2 linked regions of the Lonchura striata genome follow. The protein of the gene in region 2 purifies or fractionates together with the protein of the main gene of each other region. This does not show direct contact. Links are inferred from orthologs where the notes say so. Each region holds a gene or a part of one and is shown on either strand. Other genes may lie near its edges.

Region 1 (15,954 bases), on a different chromosome or scaffold from region 2:
ATTTACTGCTTGAAGCAGCAACTGTGCAAGTGCCTGACCCCATATTTTCAGCTGCTGGGCAATCTCTAGCTACTTGGCCAGCAGCAGCACAACTCTTCCCGAGATCAGCCTCCCTCCAGCACCTGCTGTCCAGACACTTCCAGCAGAGGCAGCCCCTGCCCAGGACAGTGGTGGTGCTTCCACACAAGACAGACTTGCTGTAATCTTGAGTACCACAAATGGGAGACAGAGCAACATAGAAAAAGCCTTTACTGACCAAGCTGCAGCACAGCCTGTGATACTAATGAGTCCACACAAACTTTTGCGCTGCTCTTCACACTCTGGGCGATAACTGACATTAAATTCTGATGATAAGTGAAAAGATAATTTAAGAAGCTACCATTCTCAAATACCACAGTTCCCAGTCCAGTAACATTCCAGGTCACGAACTGTGGTATTTCAGAGACACAACAGTGCTTGTTCTTGTATCTCTACTTTAGGACAGCAAGGCTGCCAGTGAAATGGCAGGTTATTCCTTAAAAAAAGGCACTACATTGCTGCAATTTTCACCAACATAAAAGGCTTACCTTTCTCTCTAAGTTCTCCTAAAATATCTTGAACATTGGGATTCTGTTCTTCAAGATCAAGGTTAAGGGAGCCAGTATCTGGAAAGGATTTTAAAATATCAGCTACCATTAAGACCCAGGGGTCTGAATCCAAGGTAGCGAGCTGGATAATTTCAGTCAGTGCCCCTTTCATCTAACAAAAAAAGAAAAAGAAAATCAACCAATTGGAAACAGTTTTAAACAGGTTATAGTTGGATTAATTTTAAAAAGATACAAACATGCACAATATTTTACTACTGGGGGAGGGAAGAGGGAAACTGTTTCCATACAGTTATACATTAACTCTAGAACCAAGCAAAGAATGAAACAAGGTAGTTTTTTTATACTGCTTTCAGCCAATCTAACCGAAGTTTTGTTTTCAGCTTTTGGAAGCTCAAAGCTTTGTTTAGCACTGGGCATTTTTAAAAGCAGCAGCAAGTTTTATATTACTGTCTCCTTCTGTTTTACATTCATACTTTCTGTGGACCCACTCCTTCTATTCAGTGATGGGAATATGCAAATACAAGTTATTTAGAACAGGCATCTAAATGAAGATGTGTCCCTTGCCAGCCTACAGCATAATTACACAGACAGATTGTATCTGCATCATAATTGTCTTCAAAATATTACTTAAGCTGAGGCCAAAACAACGTAATCAATACTCTATTGTTTGACAAAAAAATATGTATTATAGAAGTAAACACAGCCCTCTTAACATGCCCCAAGCAACAAGAATTTCCATCTACCCAAAGTAGCCAGAAAAAAAGTTATTTTTCTATTTTGAAAAGTGCAAAAAATTAAGTGAAATAAATTTTAAGTTTCATCTTAACAGCATTTTTTTAATTACTGACCAACATATCTGTTGGCACTGGTACGAAAATCAAAGGTGACTACAGTCAGGGGTTTACTTCATTCACAAGTAAGTGTAAACCCCCCAAGACTGAACTTTCTTTTTTACTAAGTAAATTTTCATGTAAGCGTGACAGCATTAGCTTCAGCAAACTAAGATGTTTGAGATATTCAGCATGTCTAACAAGCCACAAAACACAACAGTAAAATCACATAAAGTAGTTTACCATACTCTATCTGCATTGTATTAACACTGAAGAATGTACAAGCAAGTATAAGGAAATACGTTCATTTTGATTTTTCACCACCCATTGTGGCACATATAGCTTAGTTACAGTCATGTTTCTGAGCACAGGAAAACAAGCAAGAGACTCATCTTCACCTTCATGCTGTTTCTTTTCCTTTATTTATTTATTTTAAGCACTCTTACATGAAAAGGTTTAAAAAAATAAACTTACTCTATGCATACAACTCTAAATAAAAGAAATAAAAATTAAAATTCTGCTCCCCATTCCTCTCCCATCCACTTTTAAAGCTCAGAGGCAAACAAACATTGACATTTCTCAAGTCCTTTCATCTGCACAATGTTATTGCCCTCTCACTTTGAAAGAGTTTACAAGTCCACTCCAAAGTCAGTTTGTCCTTTACCCCCTGCATGTTTTAGGGCTCACACATTATGTGCTTGTGAAACAAACTGCATCAGTCCATCTGACCCAAAATGAGCACCTCCGTAGCTTTAAGCTTGACCAGCTCCTTAGAGTGAGTGACTGCAGTCACACAAACACCAGAACCACAGAGAGGAGCAGAAATAGGACACTACATGGGCCAGTTCCCATCCCACAGTGCCATTGATTTGCTTTGGATTAAACTGAGCACATAACCAGGAGCACACACTGTGTAATGTCCTGTCAAATTTAACCAATGCTTACCCAGTGGAAAGAATCAATTTCTGAGGTTCTACTCTTTGCTGATTCTCCATTGCTCATTTATTCCTCAATAAACATAACCCCACCACAACCTCCACACACTCATCCACCTCTTTATTCTAACCATGAACTCCTTAACAAAAGTCACTTAGGCAGTGGATGAGGATGACTATGAACACTATCAAAGCAAAGTCTTTTGTTCTTTTATCTATCCTAAAGGAATCAAGGTACTGATTTACAAAAAACACCTAAAACATCCCAGAAGAGCTGATGAATGCATAGCTTTTACAAGCTTTTCTGTGGACACCACTAATGCAGGCAAATGTACAGAAAGTCATTTCCTTCATCAAAGCAAAGTCAGGCAATAGCTAGAGGAAAAATGTCTCTTGCATCCTCACAATTTACCCTTCGTATCTACTTCACAAAACTCCTATTTGTACCAAAAATTCACATAGCTACATGCCTATACTATGAAAGTTCCTATGGAACGCTGGTGTGGGCACATTGCATCCCCTCTGCTCTCAGGGTTAAAGTTCAGGCAGCCTATTTATGCCCAAACCCACTGCTTAACAAGCTTTTAGTTCTTTCAAGAAAGCAGCCCAGAAACAATTTGTTTGCCTAGCATGGGGCAAATAACATTATCACAAGGCCTCATGACAGAAAGAACATGGTGAAATAGCAGTCACTATCACACACAGGGAAGCAAAGCACACTAACAAGTACTATGAGCTAACCAGAGACCTTGCCTGAATATGGGTTTGAATTTAACAAGCCTGGATTCGAGTTCTGACTTGGGTTTGTCTTCAAATGGATATTTAAATACATGTCCCCACTTCACTGTTCAACTGGCAGCTGAAAATAAACATTTTATTTATGCTTTGAGAATGCATAAAATGCAACTCATCAGGGAATCCTAAATGCAGTTTTCCTGTTACTTTACAGGGCACAGCCATAATCCCTAATTCTTAATTGCCTATGATTTCAACACTGGGTCATTAAGACTCTCATCAGTTCCAACCAGCATCTTGTTAAGCATGAATGTCAAGATCTGACGTAACATGTTCCAACGTCTTTCTCATCTAAAACTTAAGGATCTTAAGTATTTTATCAGCTTGCTAGCACACAAGGAAAAGCATAGGCCATGACTAGAAACATCTAGCAAATAGGGATCAGGCAGAATGGGAAGTGTCTGGGACACAGGCAGATTAATAATGGCTGTGCAGGAAGGACAAACAGGACTGTGGGAAGGTATTTAAAAGGAAGTGTTACAAGTAGCACACAATGTGACAGCTCCAAGATGATTATTTGCAAATATTTCACATTTATTTGTTTTGTATTCTGTCTAAGTTAATGTGTATGAAAATACTTTTAGACAGCTGTATCAACAGTTGGCTAATAAACCAAATGAAGCTTTAATCTTTCTGAGGCTATAGAAAAGATGATATTTAATAGGTAGCTGCTCATTATAGAGCATTTTCATGAAACTAAAAGCACTGGATTGAAAACACAGTATTAATATTTACACAATACAAACCCATGACAGGTTGGTACCACCACACTATTGTATGCATTTAAAGAATGAAAAAGAGCTAAAGTGGCCAAGGGAACTATTGGATTAAAATATACCATTTTACATCACAGAATAATTATGAACCCTAAGTGCAGGCCAGAAAGGTGCACAGCAGCCTGTGTGCTCTCAAGACAGAGGGAAATGCAAGTGTCATGTCCCCTCTTATTCCTTTGCACAGTACAAAGACACAGTTTTGATTTCTACTGTAATAAACAGGCAAGTCCCTGCTGGGCTAGGAATCCTCCTCTCAAGACAATTCAGAGAGCACAGAAGCACAGTCCTTGTTCCAGACTTGGTTGTAACATCACAGTCTAACCCTGAACAAATAAATTAACACTGGCATAAAAAGAAAATTTGCACTTGCCATTGTGAATCAGGTTAACAAGAATATGCAAAATAAACAGAAATAACAGTTCTGCCAAATTCACAACTGAAACTCTGGTCAGCACTATACTGAGCTTTAGGCATCATTTCAAATAAGTGCAATTATCTAGAAAAATATTAGCAGATGAAAAGCCATAAGATTCAAGAGTTTGCAAGTCCTTCCCAGAGAATTACAGTGGGAAAGGAATTTTTGATAACTGCCTACAAGACACAATTTAAAATGAAAATGAAAGCCAATTATTCTTATTAGTCAGCAGGAACAAACATGCAGCAATGAGGTTCACAGCATGATAAAAAATTAGTTTTATTACCTGTCCCACAAGAGTATTATGAGGATTAAGTCACTTATATCTATATAGTATTTGGAGTGTTGAATGAAAACATTATGAAAATTGAAAGAGCATAAAACTATTTAAGCGAAGAACTGAGCTTTCAAGAGGGGTCACTGAAGATTCACTTGTCTAGACTGAAGCTTTCACAGAGATTTAGAAAGGACCAGGAGCAATTAAATCCCTTTTAAAGCAAATACCACCAGTTTCCTTGATTCCCACATTGTTTTACTCAAATGTCTGCTCCCAAATAGTTTCCGCGTTATTCTAAGCTTTCGTGAAAATACTTCTATACAGAAAACAGAAAATAATTTATTTTGAAGAGAAAATAACTCAGTTTAATCTGTTATCTAGAGAGGGGAATATCTTTTAACAGGTAACATATCCTGTAGCTGCTATTGAGATTCCCAAAGCTCTACAAAGCTGATGCAATACATTTTCCAATACAATTAGGCTTCCAAATGCCAGCTCGGTGCTTCTCGCACTCGATCGATACAGACACAGGCACATGGCATGGCAAAGACATATGACTTTCCAAAGAGAATAATTAAGCACTCTCATAGTTCAGTTTAATCATTTTCAGACATGGGGGTGACTTCCAACACACAAGCAAAGGCTGCTGCAGAGAGATGTGCACAGCACAGCCATTCTGGACACAGACATATTTATCTATCTGCTGGATATTGTGTGCAAGGTACTCTCTGACAATTAAAACACTGAATATTTTGATACTAAGTTAGGTGACAAATTTGCACAAATAAAACTATCTTAGCAAACTAACCACAAATGATGAGCATCTGATAAGACAACAGTCCTTTCTGTCAGCAGTTTGGTTACATCAGCTATTTTTACCATCTATAGAAGGAAGCCTGTAATAATAATAACAGGCCTACCAACAATGTTAAGGGTTTCTGCCTCAGGAGTTTTACTATTTTAACCTTTATTTAAGGCCCTTCACCCAGTTTAAGGCAAAAAAATCTCATGTTCCTGAAACAATTAAAGATGCTAAGGGTAGATCTCAATCAATCATCATCAGTTTACAATAAAAGATTAAGCTTATGATTGAATTCATTAACTCTACCAAACTGAAAAATCCCACAGTATTTTCTTACAGCAGGAACAAGAGCTTTACATTTGGAACACAACAGATCACTTTAAGTACACAGTAAAAGGCACACTGACTGGCTTTTCTCTACACACACTTCATCTCCACGGCTAACACAATCACAGATCCAGGAAAGCTGCAGGCAGCTCTTCCTCGGGTTTGGTTTAAAACGTTCACCTAGTGAACACTCTTGAAGCATCTCAAATTATTTCAGTTTGTTTGTTTGAATGCTGCTCCCTCAAAGAGTTGCCATGAGTGCTATTTATGAAAGTCCTTAAGCTCTTTGAAGCTCTTTTCAATCTAAAAACACCACTGATTTTTCTAAACACTGCCATACTAATTTGCTACTTGGATGTTCACACTAAGGTCACAAGAATTTTGCAAACTCACAAGTTCACACGAGCTCCCATCCCCCTTTCTGGCCTTGATTATTTTGTTTGTCCAGAACACAACCCCATTTATCACCCACAAGGATGACAGCTTGTTCACTGGACAGGCACTAAACATGACTATCATATTTTAAAAATTAGCATAAACATGCTGAACTAGATTTTTTTTTTAAAGTGACACCAGTGTACCACAGTTAAGAATCATACAGATACATGTGGCAAGACAAACACTGTCATACACTAAATTATTTATTGAAGGTGATGCTTGCCCATTTTCAGCCTAGAAGTGCACAAAAACTGAGCGCACATCAATCCAAGTTACATACTACACCCTGCCTGGTATACATGTATATTAAGCTTAAGCAGCAGCTGTATCTTAGCCAAGAAAGAGACTGGTGAAAGCACAGCTGAGGATACTCTACAGAGGAAGGTGAAAACTAACCCCACACCACTTCCATGATCGTCACAAGGAAATACTACTTTACATGATGGAAGCAGGAGAGGAATTCCTCCAATCCGGCTAAAGAAACCTGAGATTTTCAGACATTCTCCAGCTATTGCCCCAAACATCTGCAGCTGCCTACCGGTAAGAATAAGCCAGGTGCAGATGAGGTATGGTCCAGGGCCAAGTGAAAAGCCTGCAGAGCCAGCTCAGATTCGAGCCAGCCAGTTTATTAACTGGGGTAGGACAACAGAGGAAAGCACCAACTGTTCCCAAAAAGGTAAAGGGAGGGAAACAAAAAGCATGGCAATTTTCCCCAATCAAGACCTGACTGCAGCAGGGTGGGGAAAAGCACTGCTCAGTGCAGACCCCAGATCTTCCACTCCCAAAGTTTCAGCACTTGCTGCTGTCCTCCCTGAAGCGAGATGCTCGACCTGTGACACCTGCACAGCTGCCAGTACTAAGGAAGGAGTGGAGGAAGCTGAACACATACACGACTGCTCCTACACGATCCTGCCTCTCTCCCAGCCACCGCACAGCCACTGCCTCAGAAAAGCCCTCTTCCCTTAAAGGCACCCCAAACACAGCCCTACAATGAGTCCCTGTGGGTCGCACAGTGGGTTTCATGTCCAAACTGCTTTCAAAAACCTAGTGCCAACCAGGGAATCCCCGAAGAGCAGGAAGAGGAGGAGCAGCAGCAAAGCTCCCACTCCACTCACTCCCTTATCGCGGGGAATCTCGGCGCTCTTCCTCGCACCGAGGAAGCGAGTCGGGAGACCTTCTTCACTTACTCCTGCCCCTGCAAGGAAGGCTGCGAGGGAGCGGCGGGGAAGGCTGTGGGGACCAGCGCTACCCCACGCCCCTGCCCTGAGGGGCTGCGGCCGCTCGGCTTCGCCCCGCGGGCAGCCCGGGGCTCGCCCTCCCCGCAGCGCCGTGTGGAAAATAAAGGGCGGGCGGGGGACTTGTGCCGGCACTGCCCCCCTTTCTCCCCTCACGCCATCCCCGACCTCTCCCCCTCACACACACGCGCGCCCCGCTTCGCTGCGACTCCCCCCCGGCTCTCACCTCATCCACCGCCCGGCGGGGCAGGTGCAGCATCCCCAGGAGCAGCTTGAGCTTGACGGCCGAGGAAAGGCCGTGGAAACAGAGACGGATGTTGTCGATGACCGAGGCCGTGAGCAGCGAGGCGATGCTCGGCGGCGCCCACAGCTCGTCCGTGGAGCCCAGTTTGTTGTGCAGCCACAGGCCGGTGTCGCTCTCCCGCATCGACGCCATCTTGGGAGCGGGGCGAAAAAAGAGGGGATTCTCGACGGGCATTTTATGAAGGCACCTAAAGGGAGGAAGGGAGGGGGTGAGGACCCCTGCGGGTCGCCGTCTTGTTCGTAAGCCAAAATGGCGGCGCCCAATGAGGTTGCGCTTGGGAAGGCGGAGGCTATGCCGTAACCTAAAATGGCGGCGCCCAGGAGGCGGAATGCAATAAGGCGCGTCTCATCTCTCGGCCAAATGCAAAATGGCGCCCGCCATAGCTTTCCGTCCGTAAAGCAAGATGGCGCCGCTTCACTGTAGAGAAGCTCCTCTGTCAGCCCCAACTCATTGTCCCTCACAGTCCGCCCTGACTCCTCCTGGGCAGAAATGGGAGGAGAACCGCTTGCGGGCCGCCGAGCCGCGGCGGGGTTGGAGGCAGGGCTTCCTGCCCGAGGTGGGCTGGCCCCCGCGCCTCCCGGCGCAGCGCTCCCCGGAGCACCACGTCTGCTTCCCTCACAGCCCCGAGCCCCGGCGGGGCGGCCGGCCCGCGCTCCCGCCCAGCGCCGCTCCCCGGCGCTAATGCCCGCTTAAAAAGCTTTCAGCCAGGGCTTCCGAGAGAGCCGCCAGCCCTGCCCGCCCGGAGGAGCCCGGAGGAGGGGCCGAGTATCTCCTCCATGGTTTCCCCGGAGATTGGCGTGCTGGGTGCCGCAGCCATGGCGGGCTTCCCTCGGTGGCTGCAGCGCCGGGGGTAGGCGCGCAGAAACCCGCACCGCATGCATTCGTATTCCCTAGCGACTCGGCTCGTTGTTATTTAAATATGAAAAAAATGAATCAATTTCCTAAATCCCCGAAGATTCAGGGGGCTTTCAAGTGCAGCATAAACGGTTCGTTTTAGCGCTTCTCTGGTTGAAACTAAAGTACAGGAGTTGCAAGAGTGCGGAGCATATTCTGCTGATCTTTCTCCTACGCTTTAGAATGAAAACGTTTTCTTTACAACATTCCGCCGTTAAAAGACATTGTTTACAACCTGATTTCTCTGGGAGAACAGAGCAATAGTTGCCGAGGTGCTCTATGTTTTCTCATAGAATCACATAATCCTTCAGGTTGGAAAAGATCTCGAAGATCACCGAATTCAAACATCAACCCGGCCACCGCTAAACCATGTCACCAAATGCCACATCTCCAGACTTTTGAACACTTCCAGGAATGGCGATTCTACCGCTTCCCTGGGCAGTCTTTCCAATGCTTAACGACCTTTTCAGTGAAAATGTTTTTCTTACTATTCAATCTAAATGTACATCATGGAGTCTTTTTTTGTTCATGCTACTGAGTGACTGCAGCTCTTGGGTGCTATAACTTCTGTCAGTGTGGAAGTATTTTGAGGCAAAGAGTTTCTGTGTGAATAAATTCTATATTAGTACATTATGACTTTTTCCATACCTAATAATGCATTTTTTTTGTACCATCAAACAATTTATACTCAAATCTGACTTAAGACAGAACTTTTGTATGGAGTGAGCTGATATTTTAGAACAGCAAAATCAAAGCTGAGGCAGTGTAGCACATAAATATCCAGAATTTCTGTTGATTTCTCAATATGTAAGTTCACTATGTAGCTGGGGGGGGAATTACTTCTCCACAAATACCTATGTATCTGTTGGTTTGAACAGAAAAAACATTGTATCTAAGACGCTGAGCTAAATTACTAAATTTGCTACAGAATATTTATATAAAGGAATATAACCTCATATAACAGGAAAGTAATTAAAGCAAAAGGTTTAAAAGTAGCTGTAAAGGAATTGCATTCACTTAGTCATATAATCAACATGTAATTATCACTAGTAACCTTTGCTCTCCATTAATTACATATAGCTGTTAAAGGTAGGCACCAGTATTGGTAAGTCTTGGGTACAATCTTATCTATCGGGTAAAATCCATGAGATAGTATAAAAAATCTAATTAAGCAAGGAAAACTAGTGATTATCTCATCTTTTAATTGTGCAAGAAAGTAACCAACCCCTTTTAAAATTGTTTTGGGGGAGGTAAATCAGAACATGTTTGCACAGCTGGTTGTCTTCAAGCAGTGGCTGTAACAGAGTTAACCTGGTTCTGTGAGATGACACAAACTCCACCAGTTCAGATGGCTGGACTGGCTGTCTTTGAAAGGGTAGCTCTGATTCCCTAAAGTTATTCAAGTTATTCTGGGATTTGGTGCTGCTTTTCTCAGGAGAGCCAAACTGCAGGCTGATGGAAGCTAAGGAAGGTTATTACACACACACCGTTCCTGTGCTTTCCTCGAGGCATCTGTTTTTAGACACTGTCAGTGTTAAGGCACTGAGCCACATGGCCATCTAGTCTGAGCTGCTGTGATGACTTTTGTGCTTTTATCTGAAGTGTGACTTGAGAAGGGAGCCTATTCTGTGATGTGTGGATTTGCATGGTCAGTTTGGCTCCAGCCCTATCACCTGCAGATTTGTCCCTCTGGCTCTTACCTGAAGAGGTATCAGACACTCTGGAGATTAAGACAAAGTGCCAGCCTCCTGTAAGAGCTTTTGTTGTGCCAGCTACTTGTACCTTAAATTTCTGTTGGAATTAAGTGCTTTTTTTTTTTTTTTTTTTTTTTTTAAACCTAAATTTTGTTTAGCTTGGGTAGTGATTTTCAGAGTGATATGCCAAATATAAAAAGGCTCATTCCTCAGGGATTTCTGGAGCTGGAAAAGGGGTACTTGATTTCTCTGGAATGTTTTGTATCCCTCAAGATGTTGCATTGCACAGATAACTGTCTGCAGATGTTTTTTCCTGTAAGTTGCAGGTCCCTATTTCAAAGGAGGTGATGTTGAATATGAAATTGTTGAGAAAAGTTGGGAGTGGAGTGTGCCACAAAATTGACCAGGGGGACACCCTGGAGTCATTCACTCACCCAGTCATGACAGTATTGAAAAAAGAGCCAGGCACAGGCAAGAGTTAATTTCTTTGAATCTGCTTTATAATACTTTTAACAAAGGTGAAGCTTTGTCTCACACCAAAACCAGTGCTCCATGAATTTCCCAACCTGCAGTTTTAGCTTGTTACCTGTTGAAATATTATCTATCTAGCCCTGTGCTATCCAGAGCAGAGTGCTGTGTCAGATTCAACATCATTACTTGTACCCAGCAGGATGTTGAGGGGTAGAGCCTGGAGTTCTCCTGGCTCGAGGGAAAGCAGCACAGCATCTGGTACACTCATGGGCAGAGCTTTCAGTTTGTGTTGGCTCTGATCTCTCAGTGAACAAGAAGCTGCTTTGCTGTTTTTAAGGAAGTGCTGAGGCATGTGCAGTAAACACGGCGTTGGCATGAGCAGTGGCACTGCATTCCCACTGGCACCTCATCCTGCAATGGCAAGTATGGTAGTGTCTGAGCCAGCAGGGCTTTAGGCTGTGATTCATGCCATGCTCACAGGGGCCAGCCCAGGAAGGGAGACAGAGCAGTAGATTGTGTATTATCATATAATTTATCCTTCTGCTCCCCCAGCATTGCCATCAGGACTGAATAACAGCTTTTCTGTGAACTTTTATATTTGTATCTTGAGTTCTAAATACCGCATCTTTTCAATAGGCTTTTAAAGCACTGTTTCCTATGTTTTCAAAGCAGAAAAAGGAGATAAATTTTATCCTTTGATATCAGGCTGGCATATAAGTTTACTGTGGGGTTAAGCATTTAGAGGTATCAGGGGCACTAATGGAGTAACTGGTAGTAGTACAAGTCTAATATCCTTTATGGTAACTGACAACAGAGGTTTCTCAGTGGGTCTAAGGTACACAGTTAATTGTTATTAAGCAGGAGATGATTTTATAAAATGGTATTTAATATCAGTTTAAAGACAGTTATAATTCAGTTTGTAAAATGCTGCTTATTATGGGTTAATGCAATTGTGTGGGTGCATCATTTTGTGTGGGAGTTTTATTTGACCCATTTTAAGACTGCTGTAGCAATGTGATCTGAAACAACACATGGGCTGAGAATTTACTCAAATAAAACCAGATTATCTGACTTCCTCAAGTCTAAGGCAAAGCTTCATTGTGGGAACCTCCTCTGTTAGCTGTGACACAGTCAGCTCCTTTCTCTGGGAGGCAAAGCCTCCAGCAGAAATAAAGATAAAAGCTACAAAAAATGTCCTGGTACTTCTTGTTGTGTGAATTGGCATGGCATGATGGGCAGTAATTGTTTCAATGTTTTTTTCAATGCTGCTCCATCCAGCTGCCTGTGTCCAGGATTATGCTTACATTGCTGTCATACCCTCTTGCAGCACAAGACATATAGTCACATGATTTTATGATTATTTTCCCTCTGAAATAAACTTCAAAATGATGCAGTGACTTAAAGCCAATGATGAAAAAGGCCCATGAAGAGGAAGAGGTTGAAATCAAGACTACTTTTCCTTCTGTCTTGCTCTAGAGCAGTTAAACTTGGTACACTCCTGCTCTGGGCTCTGATGTGTGGCTGATGGGGCCTGAACACTGAGGGTCAGCAGTGATAAAATAATTTCATTAAGGTCTCTGTACCTGAGACACCTACCTGAGAGGTCCCATCCTTGAGGAAACACCCATCTGTTTGGTTGCCTCTGCCACCTCTTCCATTGTCTTTCTTTTACTCTTGATTTTAGTAAGATTTAAGATAGATTAATATAACAAAAGGAAGAATTAAAATTGTTATTTAAAACATGAAACTATGAATGCAGAGCTCAATTAAGTTCTCAATTACTTCTAATAAATAAGAACACCATCACTGTGAACAGTCCAAATACCATTAATTAGACCTAACAATGTGTGAAATTAAAGACCATTAGAGGTTTTGAAAAACCCCTAGGACCTAAAACACAAAGTGTTGCACACAAATAAATTTGTTGTTTTAAATCCATATATTTGCCCATGCACTGTGCTTCAAATTGTCTCTGCTTGTGATGATATGGCCAAGTGGTAGAAAGGCCTTGCATTGGATCATCTGTTACTTGACATCTCATGGTATAGAATGTGTAAAGCATCCTATTCTTATTTTGCTGGAGGCATAATGCTTTCAGTAGCTGTCATAATGCAATTGTGCTGAAATGAGGGGTATTACAGGTTGTGACATAGGGCACATTGAGACAATGCTGTGATCTTCCACAAGGAAGTCATGAAGTTTTCAAGGAAGAATGCTTCCCTTTTCATAACCCCCTGGGACTTTGTTTGCCAATACCCATAAGTTTATTTCCTTTTTTCTCTCCCTCTTTATTATCTTTCAGAAACTATTCTTCATCTTATTTCATTTTTTTATCACTCTTCATGCATGTGGAATTCAGGAATGTAGGACTGGATGAGATGTCCTACGTGACCACTTGCTGTCATGTGCCATGTTATTACATCAGTCTTTTTATGAGCTATTAAACTCCATGTTGCAACTGGCTTGACTGTTTTATCCTGCTGCTGAAGGCAGAAGAGTATTTCAGAAACTCGGTGCTCTGGCAAGGATTGCTACCTTCTAATTTCCCAGCTAGACTACACCCGTTTTTATGAACAGCTTCTTCTCTTCTTTCTTTGCAAAGTGGATGAATTTTGAATTAAAGTAGAATTTTTCAGCCTCTGTAACAATTTCTTTGCTCCTCATTTATCTGTTTTAATGATATTTAATACTTTCCTTGCCACATCTCTTGATGGAGTCCAGGGTGCAGTTTGAATTATTTACAGTGAGAATGCACTGTTGGCCCAAATGGGCTTGTGCTCAGCCTGACATTAGCGTGATCCCTTGGTCCTTCTGTTGGGCTGATGCTCAGCCAGTTTCCTGCCTGTCCTCATGCCTGGGGTTTTCCATCAAGCCTGAGGTGTCTCTTGGCCTAGTCCTCAAATTTATCAAGATCTTTCTGGGTTAAGTTCTGCCAGTCCTCATGTCAACACTCCTTAATTTGGCATCCCTAAATGTGCTCAGGGTGCCCTCTGTGTCATCATCTGACACACACTGTTCTTCATTAGCTGCATGTCAGCCATTCCTTAAGCCAGTTTTCAAACCATCTGACAGACTGGCTGCCCAGCCCTTGCTCTCTTAAAAAAGGCTTTTTTTTGTGTCATTGTATAAATAAAAGTAGAAGATAACTGGGAGGTAGAAGAAGATAACTTCCATATAACTTTTTCTTTGTTAGGTTTTTTTTTTTTTTTTTTTTTTTTTTTTTTGTCATAGATCCCACACTGAGCACTTGAAGGGAGTTTAAAGCCCAGGAGCACAGAAAGGACACACTAAAATATCTGGATAGGAATTACTTTATCTATGTCTTAACCATACAGCATTGTGTTACATATGACCTTTTCCACTGTTTGAGACACTCCATGTGTGATACAGCTGGATGTTCCAGGTATGATTTGGGAGATGTAGGTATCTGGGCCTGAAACAATATGAGTCAGTGGAGAACTTGGATTTCACAGCCCATCTCTGCCTGCTCTGAATCCTGGTCAACAGTGGTAGCAACACAAGATAGAAGTACTCAAATTTAGAAGTTGTGAACTCTCATAGACAAAATTTCCTGCTTTTAATGGTAGCTTCTGACCCAGTGAGCTTTCCAGAGCTACTGCTGATGTATTTCTTACCCTAATAATTAAAAGAGAGATTCCTTAAGATGGTATTTGCTTGAGTTCCAAGCATAAAGTCAAAGAATCTCTCATACACACAAAATTTGATGCAAATCATTAATCAAAATATTGTAAAAATTTCACCCTGCTCTCCAGCTTGTCTGAATAAGCCATAAATACCAGTTAGTACCTGACAGTTAAGATCTCTGGTGTTAGTTCTCTGCTATGACAAGTGGAATCTTTTTTGAAAAACACAGATTACAGTAAGGAAAAAAATGCAGACATGTCCAATAAAATGACAAGATAAACGTATCTGAGGAATCTGGCTGAAATCAAAACATCTGTCATAGTTTAAGGGATACTATGAACTTGAACTATAGTCCCTTAAAGATAAATGAACTGAAAGCCTTTCAAGGTTTTTTATGCCAGTGAATTCTCTCCACCTATTTTTGTTTTAGCAATAACACTTAAAAGTGTTTTATTTTTGCTCTTTTCATTGCTATGAGAAAAATCCAAATAAGCAGGGGAAGATTACTAGCCTATGCCACAACTTAATAGGTATGTAGAGAACAATGTAAATTATAAATCTTTTAATCTTTTCTCACTTGTAATTTATTTTAAGCTTTATTTGCTTTATTGTACAAATGTTTCTTGCAAGTGTTTTACTTTTAAAGTAATACTTCTGTAATCTGTAAGAAAGGTTATGTTTATAGCAAAACATATTTTATCAGATGTAATTGGAAAAATAAACAATCTTGCAGGCTTACACTCCTTGTATTTGGTCTGTTTTCATCTAATAAAACATATTACCTCTCCTTCCAAACTCTTTTTTCTAGCACAGATTTTCTCAGCATGGCTGGATTTCCTCCAGAACTGAAATAAAGAATAACAAAATTGCAGCTTTTGGAGGCAGACTTAGAATATTTGTATGTGGTTGTTCATGAATTATTGAGACATTGCTACTCTCAGAACATACTGATATTGCATATCCATTATATGGATACTCAGATTAGTATGATGTGCTGAGAATTTTCTTTCTTTTTAGAAAAAGTTATGATTTCAGCAAGACTTTTTTGTATTCTAGTAACTGAGGAGGCATCCTGATGAACACATTACAGGGATCTTCAGATGGCGTAAATTTAGTTTACATGTACTATTGGTATCCTTTGGTGTGGTTCTGCTTGCCAGTGGATTGTATAGACTCAATCCCTGATAAAAATTCTTCTCACCATTTTATGAGATTTGTACATGTGTTACCCTGTTTAACAAAGAGGCAGCAAAGGAACAGGGTAGAGGAAATTCTGTGCTTAGGTCCAGGTAAGACAATTAGATGAGGCAGGTCTTTAATTCGATTCTCCAGCATCTCATTGGTGTTTTTTACTGAAGAATGACAGGATGATAGAATGGTTTGGGTTGGAAGGGACATTCCAGATCATCTTGTTCCAACCCACTGCCATGGGCAGCCTTCCACTAGACCAGGGTGATCAGAGCCCCATCCAGCCTGGCCTTGAACGCTGCCAGGGACAGAACATCCCCAAATTCCCTGGAAAACCTCTC
Region 2 (16,220 bases):
TCATCTCCTGCAGTCCTGCAGAACTCACTTTGGCAATGCTGAAGTTCACAGGACAGGCAGGAGAGTTTACATGGGGTAAACACTTTGAGCTGGCTGGAGGAGGTCTGAATCTGAACACTCTGAACCTACTGTCAACAGGTCTGACAATTCCCTAACCAGTGTGTGCTTGCTGCTGGCTATCAGAACTGCTTTTCACATCCCTGATGAAGAATAACTCAGTCTGACCCACCTTTCTCTTGCCCTCTGAGTTCTTAGGCTTAAGAAGTGATGGGTGAAACAAGAAAACTGAAATTATTTTCTTTTTGTTTAACAAGTGCCTTCTAAATACAGAACAGGTCTCCCTGCTGTCTCACTGAGAGTGGCTTTTGGTTTGGCAGCAACAGAATCTGCTTCTCTACCACCCACAAGACTCCCAATGGGACAGCTGGACTCCAGTGGCAATCCCACAGCACTCCACAAACAGCAGAAACTCCTGTTTGATGCCCCATGGCCAGGCTATGTAAGGTCATCTACATGAGCATCCTGGATGTGCTGGCCAAAAAGTCTCACGTCTGTTAGGGCAACTGCATGGATGTGTTCATGGAAGGCCAGAGCAGAGATTGGGTTCTTCAGCCTAGTTATGACCATGGAATCCAATAATGGTTTGGGTTGGGAGGGATATTAAAGCTCACCTCATTCCAACCCCCTGCCATGGGCAGGGACACCTTCCACTGTCCCAGGCTGCTCCAAGCCTCATCCAACCTGGCCTTGGACACTTCCAGGGATGGGGGGATGGGGCAGCCACAGCTGCTCTGGGCACCCTGTGCCACATCACCTCAACCAGCTGGTGCTGGATCTAAGCTGCCTCCTCTGAAAGGCAGTGGAAGTTGTACTGAAGCATTGTTTTAAGTACAGGGGTTTGCCCATCCCACCACTTGTCTCTGTGGCTGTCTGTTAACAGGAGCTGCTCAGCCCAGCTCTGTGTGCCCCAGGGAGAATCATCCTTTACCTTGAAGAAGTTCTCCAGGACATAGTTAACAGCAACCCAATTGAATGCTTCTTCCTCTGGGCTGGACAGGATTTGTGCTCCTTGAAAGCTGAAGGGGGATGACTTCAGGGTGCCAGTCAGAGCTGCAAGGAGACTGTCAGAGAGGATGGGATGGGTGAGGCTAAACACAAAAGAAAAACAAGGTACATTTGATGTTACAGGACCCTGCCAGGAGCTGCCTGCAGTGAGGACACACTGCAGGGCTTCTGCTGTGCTCCCTACTTTGGGTAGTAGCCCAGAGACACAGTGACAATCCCACTCCTGCTTCCCTCTCTCCTCGCATGGCACTGGAGGCAAGAACAGCAGAGGGCTGGTTTGAACAACTGTGCCACTGTTTAAGAATTTAGGACCTTAGTACCCTCTGTCACTGAGGAAATCCTCTGGTCCTATCCCACTGGCCTGGTCCTCTCCTGACCTTAATTTTCCCCAGTGTCTAAAAGGAGATAAAGGTCCCAGTAATGTGGTGACTGAGAAGAAGGTCCACAAGACTGTGTGATAATGTGAACCTTCCCACCACCATTTCCAATTTGCTGACAAGAAGCACTCCTGCAAGCCCATGTGGGCTGTCACACAAACTGAAACCACTTCAGCTTCCAGACTGATGGGTGTTTTCCCAGGCACTAATTGTGAAAGTGTAATAGTGAAGGAGACACTGTCAACCTGGCAGCAGTTGCAGGACTGTCATCTTCATGGCTGCCTGAGGCAACACATGGAGACACAGCCATGCCATGCTCCTCTCTTCAGGGCCTGAGGAAGGTTTAGCTGGCTAGCAGATTAGGGATGGCTCACACTGCAGAGCAGACAGGGTGAGATGCCTGTTACAGAATGATGCCTTGATGTGTGCTGGTCTCTGGGTGTGGGTTTGAAACATTCACTCACTTCAGCTGCCTCATGCTGGCGGTGGCTCCCAAGTACAGGGGGGTTTGGCTGTGCTGCTCTGCTGGGATCTCGTTCTGGGCCCAGTTCAAACATGGCTCCAAGCTCTTCCCAGCTTTCTGAGGAGAATCTGAGTAGCTGGAGATTCCTGGACCTGAGGACCATGGAACAGAATGGAATTTTAAGGGAAGTTATGGGAGAACTGTGAGAGCTGTTACCCCAGAGATTGCTATCCATGGGTAAGACAGAACCTGTCACAGGTGGGATGAAGGAGGTCTTCCAGGTATCCATCCTGCTAAAATATGGAACTGAGACCAAAACGTGCATAGAAATCCCAAATTACATTAAGACTACCTTTGCTCTGCAGATGAGACATCTCTACCAGCCACATGACTGCTGCAGCAGCTGAGGCTGTCTCAGCCCACAGAGGAAGAAATGTGGCTTTAGTTGCTATAGAAATAAGCAAAGGACACACAGAGGCTGATGTATCACCTCTGTCCTCCAGCCATCGAGCCCCCTGCCCTAGAGGAAGCCAGTGCTCTGCAGAGGGAAGCTGTGTGCCAGCCTTGACTCATTTTTCCAGCAGTCAGTGGAGTCTTAAATGTTGGTTTTGAACTACTACCCAGGAAGAGTCTCCCTTTGCTGTTCTCCTGATTCCCTCACCACGTGCTTTGCTCTCTGTGGCTGTGCTGCCATGCAGACAGGGCCCCTCAAACTGGGGCTTGAGACCTGCCTGGGCCTCTTGTGCTGCTGCTGGCAGCAAACTGCCTCACAGAGCTGCTGCTTAACCCAGCTGCTGAACGAGGGACATGTACAAGGTTTCAGGGAGCCCTTCTTGCATCTTCTCTGTGTGATTTCAGTTGTTTACAGCCTGCAAGGGCACAAACCCTGTTCCCTGCTTGCTGTGCAGCTGCCCTCCCACAGCACGTTGCTGCTGAGGGCTCAGTCCTTCCCAGCATCCCACTATAACCAGGCTTTAACATCAAAGCAAGATTAGGAGATAGGGAAGGAAAACCCCATGTATTAATGCATGAAACCCTCTCAGCTGGCATTGGCAGGGCCAAACTGATTCAAATTAATGAGGAAAACCGCCAAATTCTCTGAAATGGGAACACCTAAAGGCAAGCTGAACTCATTTTGTGCTGTCAGATGCGATATAGGGAATTGGAGTTTTGCAGCTCTCTTGTCCTGGAGCTACCCCACTTACTGCCCAGGGCACAGTCAGGAGGAGGCCAGGAGTCCTCCTCTTCTCCACAGTCAGGAGAAGATACTAGGAGTCATCCTGCAGTCAGATTTGTCTCCATTGCTGTTCACTGCCTCTCCTGGGTGAGAAGCTCCAGCAACCTTGGCTCTATCACTGATCCATGTGCACATCAAGACAAGCCACATCCTCTCTGCATGTTTCCCTGCCTGCAGCAGCCCCAAAATCCTGACACCTGCTACTGCCAAGGGCCTGATGTGCAACTGTGTGTGGCTAAATCCACCCAGTCGAGAAGAGTTATGCTGAAAATAAGCAACTTGTGCTTTACTATTTCTGTGCACAGCTGGGGGAGCCAAGGAATTTATGGCACTGGTCCATGCACAGGTCTCTGTTTTTCCATCCATCCCATGCCAGTTGCATGGACCATTGAGCAGGAAATGGGCACCTTACCTTGCACAGGGCAGGAGCTGCATCCTCTGATCACCCCGGTCTTGTTTGCCTTGGTGGTTGTCCACTGGTAGATGAACAGGATGGTGCGGGATGGGCCAGCATCCAGAACAATGCCATACTGGAAGAACCCCAGAACATTCTACTGAAAAACACTAGTGAATGCATGCTGACTGATTCTGTAGGGTTACCAAGCATATATAGGTATTCTGGGTCTGCACTGCAGTGCTTGAGTTTGCTTGTGACATTCAAAGAGCAGGTGAAGCCAGAACATGATGAGGATTTGCAGGGAACCATCTGCGTTTCTGAATATATATGAGGAACAGCAGGAGTGAAGAAACGCCCAGAAATACATCAGCCCTACAGTGGCATGCACTGGAGCTGCTCCTGAAACCAGGCAGAGGGCTTCCCCTGAGAGCTGAGCCACCTGGAGCTCAGGAAAAACAGGTCCTAAAGCAGTGGGAGATGGCACTGTTCTCCACTGATTCTGGGACTCAAACTGCTGCTGGTTGGTTTGCTCAGGCTTTTGTGCAGGAATTGGAGGGCTGCAGCTGACTTTTCCCAGGAAACCCAGGACTCCTGTGTCTCTTTGATGTCCCACTGCAGTGAGGGTGTGACACAGGCTTAGGTTTGTGTGCAGAGCTGTAGGAGCTGCAGCAACCAGCACAGACGCTGTTCAACACAGCAGCCCCTCAGAGACAGAGATGATGTCTTGGCAGGAAGAGCAGCAGCAGTAGACATGATCAGCTCACCCCTTGTCCCCGGGCAGCTCTGCTATTGCCCAAACCAAGGGCTCTCTGTCTCCTTGTCCCCAGTGTTTGTTTGCTGCTGACCAAGCCTTGCTGCTTCCAGAATATGAAGGAGAGCAAGGGGAGGCCACTGGACTACCCTGCAGCACAGGTCTGGCTGTCCCCACACCCAAAATAGCTCCAGAGCTAACCTAGGGCTCCTCTGCTCCTCTTACATGACCCCAGTTTGGGACATCTCCTACACAGACAGGAAGAAAACTCATGAGCTGCATGCTAGTGCGTGGTCAAAGCTGGATCTCACACACAAATAGAGCTGTGACTGAGTGGGAGGAGAAACCTCCTGAGAGGTTGATGTTAATGCCACCAGAAGGGTTTCAGCACCAGCCAGAGCTGGCTGCAGGCTCTGAGTGAGGCTGGCTGCCTGCTGCCCTCCTGGAGCTCCCAGTTGCACCAGTCCTGGCAGCCAGGCCAGGGGCTGGTGGGGCTGGGCTGGAGCAGCAATGCGGAAGGAGGCTGGAGCTCCCTGCCCCAGCCTGCTGGCACCCTCCCACACCAGTGACAGCTCGGATTTCTAGCAGGGACATGTTGGCTGCTGCAGAAGAGGAAGAAAGGAATGGCATTGGTGGAGAAACGTGGAATTTTTTTTCTCCTTCAGAAAATTAGAGGCTGCTGCTGAGAGCCCAAGGGAGAAGGGGAGGGATCACCACATTTATGCCCAGCTCAACACCAGGAAAGGACAGAACAAGGAGCAATAAGAGGGGTTTTAACTGAGTTTTGTTTCTGAGAGGAACATGGAGGAGGGGTGCTATTTCTAAACACCCAGGATAGCCTCCTTCTGTTGGGTGGAACCACGGTGTGCCACTGAGCTCACCTCAGCAATGGGAGCATCAAGAGACAGAGCAGGTGAGCATTAACCCCCCAAGACCTGACCCAGCTGTGAGGAGCACACCAGCTCTTTGACTGAAATCAAGACAGGACCAAAGAGAAGAAGGCATGAAAGACAATTTGTTTTTAAGACAGAAGCAGCAGTTCAGGGGCACATTCCTACTGACTTTTGAGAGGGACCTAGCTCTTTCCCTGCACTGACACCACTGGTTCCTTGTTGCTCTGGGGCAGCTCCTGACATGGGCTGCCTCCCCTCAGCCTGCCCTGAGCATCTCCACTGATCCATGGACCATATCCAGCCCGCATTCCATGACCAATCAAAGGAGGGGGCTTGTTTCTGGTTTGAAAACCTACAGCATGTTGAAAGACGCCAACCTGTCCTGACAGTCTTGTTTCAGTTCCCTCCTCGGTTTGTAAGTAGCTCAATAATAAAATTATGTCAAAAGCAACAAAACAGCCCAGCTTAGCTGCCTGTCTCCCCCCTGGAGAGCCCTTACCTTGGTCCTGAGTGGGGCCACGGGCACATCTTTGGTGGAGACACAGAGCAGCACGATGCCCGTCAGCCCCGCTACGATCACCAGCCAGGGGGGAAGCAGCTCTCGCCAAGACATGAAGAGTGTTCTCCTTTCACCAAAGAGGAAGCAGTGGAGCAGCAAACCGGCTGCTTTAATAACCTTTAAAAAGAGCAGAAAGGCGTGGCCAGGGCCCGGCTCTGACTTCAGCCCAGCCCCAAGCCACAGGGACCACAGGGACGCGTGGGCCTGGCTGTGATGTGTCAGGGAGCTCTGCTTTCCCTTCCATCCCTGCTGCCCATAAATAACAGGAGGGCTCTGTGCCCATCCCTGTGCGAGCTGTGCAGCAGCACCGCTGCAACCTCGAAACTGCCCCAGGCAGCGGGGTTGAGGTAAACACAAATGTGGGGTTAACTCAGCAGAAGGCAGGCAAAACTCATCCCTTTGGTATTCCACATCTGGCAGCGTGAGCTTTCAAATTAGAAGCTGGGGAAACTGCTTGTTATTGGATTTACTTTGTTTCTGAGGGCATGAGCCTCTCTGACAGCCTCCCTGTGGAAAACAACCAAGGCTCAGGCTTCTTGAAACACACGCCTGCTTTCTCCTGACAGTGCCACAAAGTCTCATCCCTGCAAATGGAAATTCAGAAGAAAACTCCATGGCTGCTTGCACTGAGGCATTTGGCTGATTGCTCATGTCCACAGACTGGTCATAGATCTGAAGGTGAAACCAGGAATAGGGAAAGGCCACATCTCTGTTTTTGGTGGTTTCCTCTTTTCATTGCTGTCTGCCCATGAGGAAGCCTCAGACACCCCCAGGAACTTGGAAGTGACCCATGTAATAAATAAAAAGGTTTAAAAAGGAAAAAAGGACTATTAAAAAAAAGTCAAAGTGGGAGGGCGTGCACCATGATAGAGAAGAGACTCCCCAGCTGCCCAGCGCTGCCTTTTGCTTAATACCACTTGCTTAATAAATTCTTGTTAATTAATTTATCTATAATTAGCCTCCCCAATTGAATTTGTCCATAACAACCCACAAGGATCGAGTCCAACCCTTAGCCTTGCATAGGACACTCCCAAGAGTCCCACCATGTGGAAGCTCCTGGAGCAGGGCCTGTGGAGAGCTGCAAAGTTGGCCAAGGCTCTGGAACATTTCCCTTGTGAGGAGAGGCTGAGGGAGCTGGGTCTGTTCAGCCTGGAGAAGAGACAGCCCAGAGGGGACCTCATCAGTGTGTATGGGTATCTAAAGGGGGGTGTCCGAGCATGGACCAGACTCTGCTGGTGCCCAGCAGTGGACAAGAGGCAGCAGCTGACACCCAGGAAGCTCCACCTGAACATGGGGAAGAATTTCTTTGCTGTGGGGGTGACCAAGCTCTGAACAGGCAGCCCAGAGAGGGAGTGGAGTCTCCCTCACTGGAGATATTCCAGAACCGTCTGGTTATGTGTAGTAAACATAATTAGCGCCATTCCTTGTATGAAATGTGTAATATTGGATACTTGTTAGATTCTGCTCGTTTGTATTAGGCCCCCCACCCTCGCAGGTGAGACTGGGTGTATATTAGAAACTGATTTACAAGTAAAAAGATGTGGCTTGGCCAGGAGATGGGGATGGGCCATGTCTAGAGAGATTTGGGGACCCCAGGTGCTGATCATGGCGTGAACGACCCGGGATGGATCTCATGGAAATCCTCCGGCAGATCCATGGGAATGCAGCGTTCCCGTAAACTTCATCAAGGGATTCACCAACTCCTGGCACTGAATTGTTCTTCATCCCCAAAAAAGAAAATCTCATTAACCTATGGGCTCTGAATGGAAGAAAAGACTGATTGCTGAACTCTTGGCCTCAGGTGGAATTTTCCCTATAAAAACCGCTTGTGCCAGGCTGGAGGTGTGTGGGCACAGAGGAAAACCTCTGCTGGGGCTGACTCCTTGTGGCACACCCAGGGCTGACCCCGGGCTCGGCTCTGTTCTTTCCTTGTGGCTGGCTAGATAGAATTTGATTGCAAAATAAATATTTTATATTTCATTTTAATTTGGCTGGACAAATTTTCATTTATAACAGTCTGAACACAATCCTGCGCCGTGTGCTCTGGGATGACCCTGCTTGGAAAGGAAGGTGGGGCTAGATGACCGTCTATGATCCCTTCCAGCCCGAACCATTCCGTGATCGCATGTGCTGTCCAAAGGCTCCCTGAGCCCCATGCGCCCTGCCTGGCGCTCAGCCGAGCCGCACCGAGCTCCTCGGGCCGCGGGGAGCCCGGGGCAGCCGCCGCGGAACCTTGGTGCGGCGGAACCTCCGTGCTGCGGCGCGGGGCCCGCCCGCGGGGCGGCTTGGGGCGGACCGCGCGGAGCCGGGGCGGGAGCTGAGGCGGGACCGGGAACCGGATCGGCACCGGGATCGGGATCGGGAATAGGGCCGGGAACAGGGCCGGGAACGGCACCTGGAGCGGCCCCCGCGCCCGGCCGGGCCGACATGTACGCGGGGCTGCAGGAGCTGGGAGTGGCCAACGGCGAGGACCTCAAGGAGACCCTGACGAACTGCACGGAGCCGCTGAAGGCCATCGAGCAGTTCCAGGTGCGCTGGGGCCGTGTGGGGCCGGGCCGTGCGGGACAGCGAGCACGGGACGGCCCCCAGCGCCCTCTGGGCTTTTCCTGGCTGTATTTGTAATCCCGAGTGCCGTTGTCATTCCCTCGGCGGGTTGTGTTGCAGACGGAGAACGGGGTGCTGCTGCCCTCGCTGCAGTATGCCCTGCCCTTCCTGGACCTTCACGGCACCCCCCGGCTCGAGTTCCACCAGTCCGTGTTCGATGAGCTGCGGGAGAAGCTGCTGGAGAGAGTCTCTGCCATCGCTTTGGAGGGGAAGGTCGAGGAGAGGTTTGTCAGCAGCCTCCTGGGAGTTCTGTGTGAAAATACAGTGGGTGGGTGACTTCTCTAAAGGAGAGTTGGGCTCTTCAGGGTCCGAGTTCCAGTGGCTTTGAGGTGGCCACTTCGTTCCTTTACTGCTGCGTGGTACCTAGTCTCATGTTTTCCCATGATTTCAGATACAAGAAGCTGGAAGATCTCCTAGAGAAGAGCTTTTCCCTGGTCAAGATGCCCTCGATACAGCCCGTGGTCATGTGTGTCATGAAGCACTTGCCCAAGGTGGGACCACTGCACTGGTTGGCCTGGTGTGATGTGGTATGTCACTGGTGTGACATCTCTGGTGTGACATCTCTGGTGTGACATCTCTGGTGTGACGTCTCTGCTGTGCCTCTGGCAGGGAGGCTCTGCTCCCTCTGCTCCTTCTGCAAGTGTGTTTTTCAGTGTCAAGAACTGACTGAGGATTCAACACATTCTTGTATCTGCTAATAGCTCAGTGGACTAATTCAAAAAGCCTTTCACATTTTCATTATCAGACGAGACTATTTCCCTATTTTCTTCAATCCATGCAGCTTCCTAAAAAGTCAAGTTTGCTGATAGGTGAATTTTTCCACAACTGTTTTGCAAATCTTTGACAAGTGGAAGGTAAGGCTTGAAAAGTGCAATTAAAAGTAGGCAGGAGGGAGAATCAGGTCTGTGAAACAAAAATCCTTACTAAAAGCATCATGTTGCACTCAATGTAATGGACTCAAAACACTGCTGGAACTTCAGTAAATTACTGAGCTTGGAAACATCACCTCAAATCTCAGCACTGGAGATTTAAAGTAGACCTTTTTTCTTCTTTGAAAGAATCAAGGGTGTGTGATTTGGGTGTTGAAGTCTCTTAGGGCTGGTCTACTGCTACACCAGGTGGGTGAATGCCCAGACTGCCTGAGGTGGGGATCACGGCATGGAGAGGATTGCCTCACCTTGAGTCCTGGGGCTGTTTGGGCACAAGATGAAAAAACATCTAAAGCTGTTGGAAAATGTTAAAAGGATGGTGCAGGGTGTGGAGGGGCCCGTGAGGAGCAGCTGAGGGCACTGGGATGGTTCAGCTGGGGCAGGCTGAGGGCAGAGCTCCCCGGGGCTGCAGCTCCTCCTGGGGCAGCTCCAGCTCTGCCCTGGGACAGGGACAGGAGCCAGGGCACGGCTGGAGCTGGGCCAGGGCAGCTCAGGCTGGAGAGCAGGAAAGGTTCTTCCCCCAGAGGTGCTGGCACTGCCCAGGCTGCCCAGGGAATGGGCACGGCCCCGAGGCTGCCAGAGCTCCAGGAGCCTTTGGCCAGCGCTGCCAGGGATGCCCAGGGTGGGATTTTGGGGGTCTGGGCAGGGACAGGGGCTGGGCTGGATAATCCTTGTGGGTCCCTCCCAGCTCAGGAGGTTCTCTGATTCCATGATTTAGATGGTTACATGGACAGGCAGGGAGGTGAGGTGCTGCTCACTCTGTACCTGCTCTGTGGATTGCAGGTCCCTGAGAAGAAGCTGAAGCTGGTGATGGCTGATAAGGACCTGTACAAGGCCTGTGCTGTGGAGGTGAAGAGGCAGATCTGGCAGGACAACCAGGCTCTCTTTGGGGATGAGGTGTCACCCTTGCTGAAGCAATACATCCTGGAGAAGGAGAACATTCTCTTCAGCAATGATATTTCCTTCTTGCAAAATTTCTTCAGTCCATCTCCCAAAACGAGACGTCAAGGAGAGGTAAGGACAAGGAAACCCTCACAATGTGCTGGTGAGGGGAATTACCAGCTTTCAGTCAACCATCACATAAATAACCTGAGCTGTTTTTTTCTGCCCATCTTCACTGCTGCAGTTGTTTAGCTGAACAAACTCTTTGCAGGAAGCACCAGGCCATTTTCTCCTGCACATTTTGATAAAAGCAGGAGGAATTATTTTAATTGTTGTGTAATAAATGATGAATGTTCTAAGTTGTTTATACACTTCAAAAAAAGAAAGGGCAGATTTTTTCTCTGGTGGTCAGTCTGGTTTTAATACACTTCAGCTGTTCTGAAGGCTGAACATCTCTTACCACATCAGTTTGATTATGCTGATATGTTAAATTCGCTTTCTTAGGACTTTTTTTAGTAGATGTATTTCAACTGAAGTTGCTTTTTTTAAAAAAAAACTATGTAGAAAGTTGTAGTTAATTGGCATCCGGAAAAGTTGAATTAAATTAAGGCAGTATAGTTTTAATTTCAGAGAGCACAGCACATCTGTTACATGAGGGTTTGTTTTAGGCTTGTTTTGCTTTCAGAATCATTTGGTGTAAATGCCCTTGTGCAATTTACTCCAGGTTTGCACTGCAGAGTTGTGCTTTAACCCCAGCTGGACATTCAGCACCACACCTCCACTTGGTCACTCTCCTTGAGGGGATGGGGGGAGAATCAGAAGGGTAGAAGAAAGAATCTGTGGGTTGGGACAAAACCAGGTTATGGCAGCTTTTGGTTTTTGAAGATCTGGTGAACATCTCTTGAACAAATGCTCTTGGAAATCTTGGGGTAAACAGTTCCTTTTCAGGACCTCATGTCCCTGCAGATGCTTCAGTCTCGGTAAATCAGATAACATAATTAATTGACATTTGTGTGTGTGTAGAATGAGAGCCTCTCTTGGTGCTGAGCCCACGTGTTCCCTCTGAGCTCAGGTGGTGCAGAAGCTGACGCAGATGATCGGGAAGAACGTGAAGCTCTACGACATGGTGCTGCAGTTCCTCAGGACCCTGTTCCTGCGCACCAGGAACGTCCATTACTGCACGCTGAGGGCAGAGCTCCTGATGTCACTGCATGACCTGGAGATCAGTGACATCTGCACTGTTGATCCCTGTCACAAGGTACCAATCACATGGGACAGACAGGGGTATTTATGGACAATTTTCTGCAAAAAGCCCAGAGAAGATGAATCCTTTCTGTAAAGAGATTTCAGACCTTAAACCTAAATGTCATCTTACACTCCTTGAACTTTTGGGTGAAAACTTCATCTTGGTTAACCAGCAGTTTGCTTTTATCTCATAACCCATGAATCGTTCAAGCTTAGGGTACTTTGGCAGTGTTAAAAGCAATGTCTAATCTGACATCTATTCTATGTAGATGCTGCAGAAATAATAAAAAACACCAGCTGGCCCCAGGTTCTTACTCCAGGCTCCCCTCCCAGTTTTGGATATGCTCCATCTGTCAGTAAACTGTGTGTAACAGTAAATACTTTGGATATTGAATTATAAGAAAACATGAAACTATTCAAATATTAGGAATTACAGATGTGGTAATGTCACAGCAGGATCTTGTTACTGGCCCCTTGTTCATGATAGCATCACTCTGACCTGGAACAAGGCCTTTTCTCTGAGGTAGTTGTTAAGTTTTACATGTATTCTGCTTAAAAAATAGTTCAGTAATACAGCTCTAAAGCAGGGACCCCTCCACTGTCAATATTCCTTTATTTAGAGTGTGGGAGTGCTATTCCAATTACCAAAATAAACCACATTTTTATTTCTAAGTGATGCTGCTTCTTTCTCAGTCCCCTACTTGTATAAATCCACAGGTGTGCAGGACGGTGGTGGATTTAATAACTGCTTCTTAATTGCCAGGGAATGCCTTCCCTGGAAGTGGAGAAAGCGACCCCAGGTTAACTTCCCTGGGCATTCCTAACCTCCTTTTGGGATGTTTGCCTTTCTGGCCTCTGTTAGTCACCAGTGTGGTACTGTGCCCAGGTGCATTAATGAAGCACCTCAATTGGAGATATTTTGAGGTCATTCTGAGCCTGTTTTCTCTGACAGCATGTGTTTTATTGCTGGTTTAATGAGTTCCTAAAGCTCCCTCCATCTGCTGACAGTTCACCTGGTGCCTTGACGCCTGCATTCGGGAGAAGTTCGTGGACAACAAGAGAGCTCGGGAATTGCAAGGATTCCTGGATGGGGTGAAGAAAGGACAAGAACAAGTGTTGGGGTAAGGCACTTGGGCTGCTAATTGGGAAACTGAAAATGGCTTCCTAGCATTCACAACACCTGACAGATGCTGTAGATGTTAATTCTTCCCTAAAGCCAGCCAAACATCCAGCAGCCCCTCTGTGCAGTCACATCCAAACATCCCTCAGTGTGCTGGGGCACAGCCAAGCACATCCTGGTGGTCTCCCCTGTGGCCTCATAACAAAATTCAGGAGCCTTTCTTAAAGAGTCAGAATAACTTATTACTAATGACTTGTCTGGCTTTAAACCCAGAGAAAATGGGCTGGTGATGTTTGTCAGTTAAAATGCTTCATTAGCTTCAAATGACAATCCTGCTGTGATCTGGTACACTTATTCTGGAAGGTTGTCTCACAGTATTTTATTTAGCTGGTACTTTTAAGATTTTGTCCATTGGTATTTTAAGCTACTCAAGAATTCATTTTTACTTGTTGTTTTTCAAAAACCTCTGGGACCTTTTGGTCAAAACCTGCCAGCTCGAAGAGCTGGGCCCACCAGAGCCTCACTATCTGTGGGCTGTCTCCCAGTGGACCTTCAGCTGGCTGTGGGAGATTTTGTGCTTGATCTCAGTGCAGAAGACTTTGAGCAATTGTTATTTGTGTTCTTTCACATCAAAACCACCATGAATGTTACTTCTTTACAAGGCAGGACAAAGTTTATGAGGTGCACACAGCTGGGTTTGGACCTGTACAATGGGGTTGTTGGTTATGTATGACAAGTGTTTGGTTTTTACTTCTTCTCAGGGACTTATCAATGATCCTGTGTGATCCCTTTGCCATTAACACCTTAGCCTTGAGCACCATAAGGCACCTGCAAGACCTGGTTGGGCAGGACACCTTACCCAGGGTAAGTATTGCAGCTTGTGTAGCTAACCTGAATTATTCTCTAGGCTGACTGACAGCCATCAGGGAAGGAATGGCACCATCCAAGTCTCATTAAGTTCCCAAATGTGGCAGTTGAAACAAGGGAAACATGATTCCTGTCCATTTGCAGCACCTGCTGCAGAGCTCTGCAGGAGCTCTTTGGACATGGTGGGCATTTTGGAACTCTGCAAACGTTGCATGGCTCATTCTGCCTGGCAGCTGTGCAAATACAGAATAATATGTAGAATCTGTGCCTCCCTGCTTTGTCCCTCCATCAATTTGTCTGACAGCAGCACCTTTCTCCTGCCATGGTGAATGCCATGGGTTTGCTTGCACAGTTCTGGTCTGGTGGCTGAGATAAAACACAGTTCCTGCAAGTGGAGTCTGCAGGAGGTGCTGAAAGGTTAAAGAAGGGCACCCTGACAGGTGCCTGAACAATGGGAGCCACTTGCTGTTTTATCCCTGAGTTGTTAAATGTTCTTGTTGCATGGAGCAACTTCCTTGTGACAGTTTAAGACTGAAAGTCATTTGGATTTCAGGACACAAACAATCTGTTCTTACACACCCTTTCTCCTCCTTTCTTCTGCTGAAATGACTTGGTTTGTCCTCTCACACATTATATTCTAGTGCACTAATTGGGCTGGACACATTTTAAAAAGATGTGCTCAGGTGGCTGCAGACTTCCTGGTGCATTATAAATTTACTACCCCCCACAAACCCTGAGGTGTGGCAGTTATTTGATGCCCATTTGAGGATCAGTTTTCAATTAACTTGAACTGAATGCCTTTAGCAGTCTTGGACAAAGCTGCTAATCCAGAACAGCTTTGAATATAAACCACTTCTTCCAAATAAATATCTCATGTGAAGATCAAAATAGCTGTTTTTCTTCTCCCCTTAAAATTGGAGGAAAGCCCGGATCTGCTGCTGCTCCTTAGGATGCTGTCTTTGGGACAGGGGGCCTGGGACATGATTGACAGCCAAGTCTTCAAGGAACCAAAAATGGTGAGCCCTTTTGATGTTAAGAATTCAACACAATTAATCAAATTTAGACTTGTTTGTTATTTTATTGCATTCCTGATTAAACATTTGTTCTCCAAATGTCTCAGCTTTCTTGGGGAAAAAACAGTGGTCACAGAGCAGCTGTTCTGGACATGCTGTGAGCTTCCATTACCCACCTTTTTATTTCTATGGATGCCTGGTCCTTACTGTTCTAAAATCAGCCTGTACCTCTGCTAAATGCTCCACTGGTTGCTCATTGCTCTCTCATTTTTCCTGGAGTCTTGCACACAACTGATGTGTTTGTAGAACACATCTTGCATGAGGAAAGCAGGATTTCCAGGACTGGTCTCAAACTCTGGTAGCAGTTCAGAAGCTTTTCATTGACAAGAAAAATGTTTTTTTCCTCCCAGCTCTCTGTTACAGCAGTTTAATGTAGTGCCACATTGAACTGTAATCTTTACATGCTTTGGAAATCCTTTCCCAGTGTTACAGGAATCCCTGGTGTAGTTCAGCTGAGGGTAGGAGGGCCAACCCTGGTGTTGCACAGTAGGGCTGTTCCTTAGGAGGAATTTGCTGTTTCTGTTCTGAACTATAAAGCAGTAAATGTTTTATAAACACCTAGGGGCACATTTGAAGTCTCCAAAATGCATCCACTCCTGGCTGCTAGGATGTTTAAATTCACCCAGGGAGGGTGTGCATAACATCGGGACTGTAGCAGTAAGAGTGACCAGTAATTCTGAAGGTAGTGCTGTGATTTGTGCTACCTCATGAACCTATAAGGGAAAATACTCAGTTTCTTTCCAAAGGGAGTCTCTGAATCAGCCTTTGAAACCTGATTTATTTGTGGTTATGTTACCACAAATAAGCCTGGGCCATGCTGGCAGTGAGTGATTGTTGGTATCAGCAGTTTGATGTCATCCTGAACACATGCCATGCCTGCAGCAGTGCTGGGAAGGGCCTCTCAGAAGAAATGCTACACAATTGTCCAAAAAAAGGGTTTGAGCAGCAGTGTTTCTGTAGTGACATGAAGTAGAGTTTTCCTAATTACCATGGAACGCATGGAAGTGAATTATTCAGGAATTTTGACTGGAACTGGCTGGTTTTCCTCAGTGTAGGATGAGGCTACTCACACTGCCTTGCAATTGTCACAGCACTTGAGGACGATCAGGTAGCAAGAAGTGACTGATGATGGCTTTGTTCTCTTCCCTCTCTCCAAGGAAGCCGAACTGATCACCAGGTTCCTGCCCCTGCTGATGTCCTTTGTGGTGGATGACCACACCTTCACTGTGGATCAGAAGCTGCCCTCGGAGGAGAAGGGACCAATCCCCTACCCCAGCACCATTCCCGAGGCTTTCACCAAGTAGGTGCCTGGCCATACCCCCTGCAGGGTCTGGCACCAAAGCAGCAAGGAGCCAGCCAGACCTGGCAGGGAAAACTGCCTGTGGTAAAGGCAAGGCTTCCTGGGATAAGATTCAGTGCTAATTAATCAAGTTTGAACTTTCCTTTTAACAAAACAGGTTTCCCTTGTGCCCCTCAAATAAAATCTATCTACACGAAGTAATATTTCTATAATGGGCAATTTTGTCATTGAATCTGAGAGTATTTGGTGTTTCTGTCAGGCAGTGAATGCTGAGTTTTGGGTGATATTTGGGTGCAGCTGGATGAGTGCCCCTGTTGAAGAGCACTATGTAAATCATAAATTTGGCATTTTTGACACCCACACTCTCTCTGTTGATAACCTGTCACTCCAGGGACATCAGAAAGATAATTAAAACCTCCGTGTGCTCTGCTGTGTTCAGATCTTCCACTGATTTCTAG

Evidence for each region.
Region 1: the proteins of NELFB (region 2) and NELFA purify together in Homo sapiens (affinity purification with mass spectrometry; 8 studies listed by BioGRID and IntAct, counting the BioPlex papers as one, with this or other methods). This does not show direct contact. The link is inferred for Lonchura striata from reciprocal best matches to the Homo sapiens genes NELFB and NELFA.

The regions. Positions count from the first base shown.
Region 1 is NC_134606.1:8,444,565-8,460,518, forward strand, and holds the start of NELFA (negative elongation factor A), read right to left. Parts: upstream 8,184-15,954; 5' UTR 7,896-8,183; coding exon 7,644-7,895; intron 739-7,643; coding exon 567-738; intron 1-566. UniProt on the Homo sapiens protein: Essential component of the NELF complex, a complex that negatively regulates the elongation of transcription by RNA polymerase II.
Region 2 is NC_134624.1:4,217,550-4,233,769, reverse strand, and holds the start of NELFB (negative elongation factor B), read left to right. Parts: upstream 1-8,031; 5' UTR 8,032-8,169; coding exon 8,170-8,271; intron 8,272-8,406; coding exon 8,407-8,570; intron 8,571-8,737; coding exon 8,738-8,837; intron 8,838-10,058; coding exon 10,059-10,289; intron 10,290-11,229; coding exon 11,230-11,415; intron 11,416-12,410; coding exon 12,411-12,523; intron 12,524-13,283; coding exon 13,284-13,386; intron 13,387-14,309; coding exon 14,310-14,405; intron 14,406-15,619; coding exon 15,620-15,762; intron 15,763-16,220. Other genes in the region: ectonucleoside triphosphate diphosphohydrolase 2-like, read right to left, coding at 989-1,148, 1,907-2,057, 3,555-3,672, 5,683-5,796. UniProt on the Homo sapiens protein: Essential component of the NELF complex, a complex that negatively regulates the elongation of transcription by RNA polymerase II.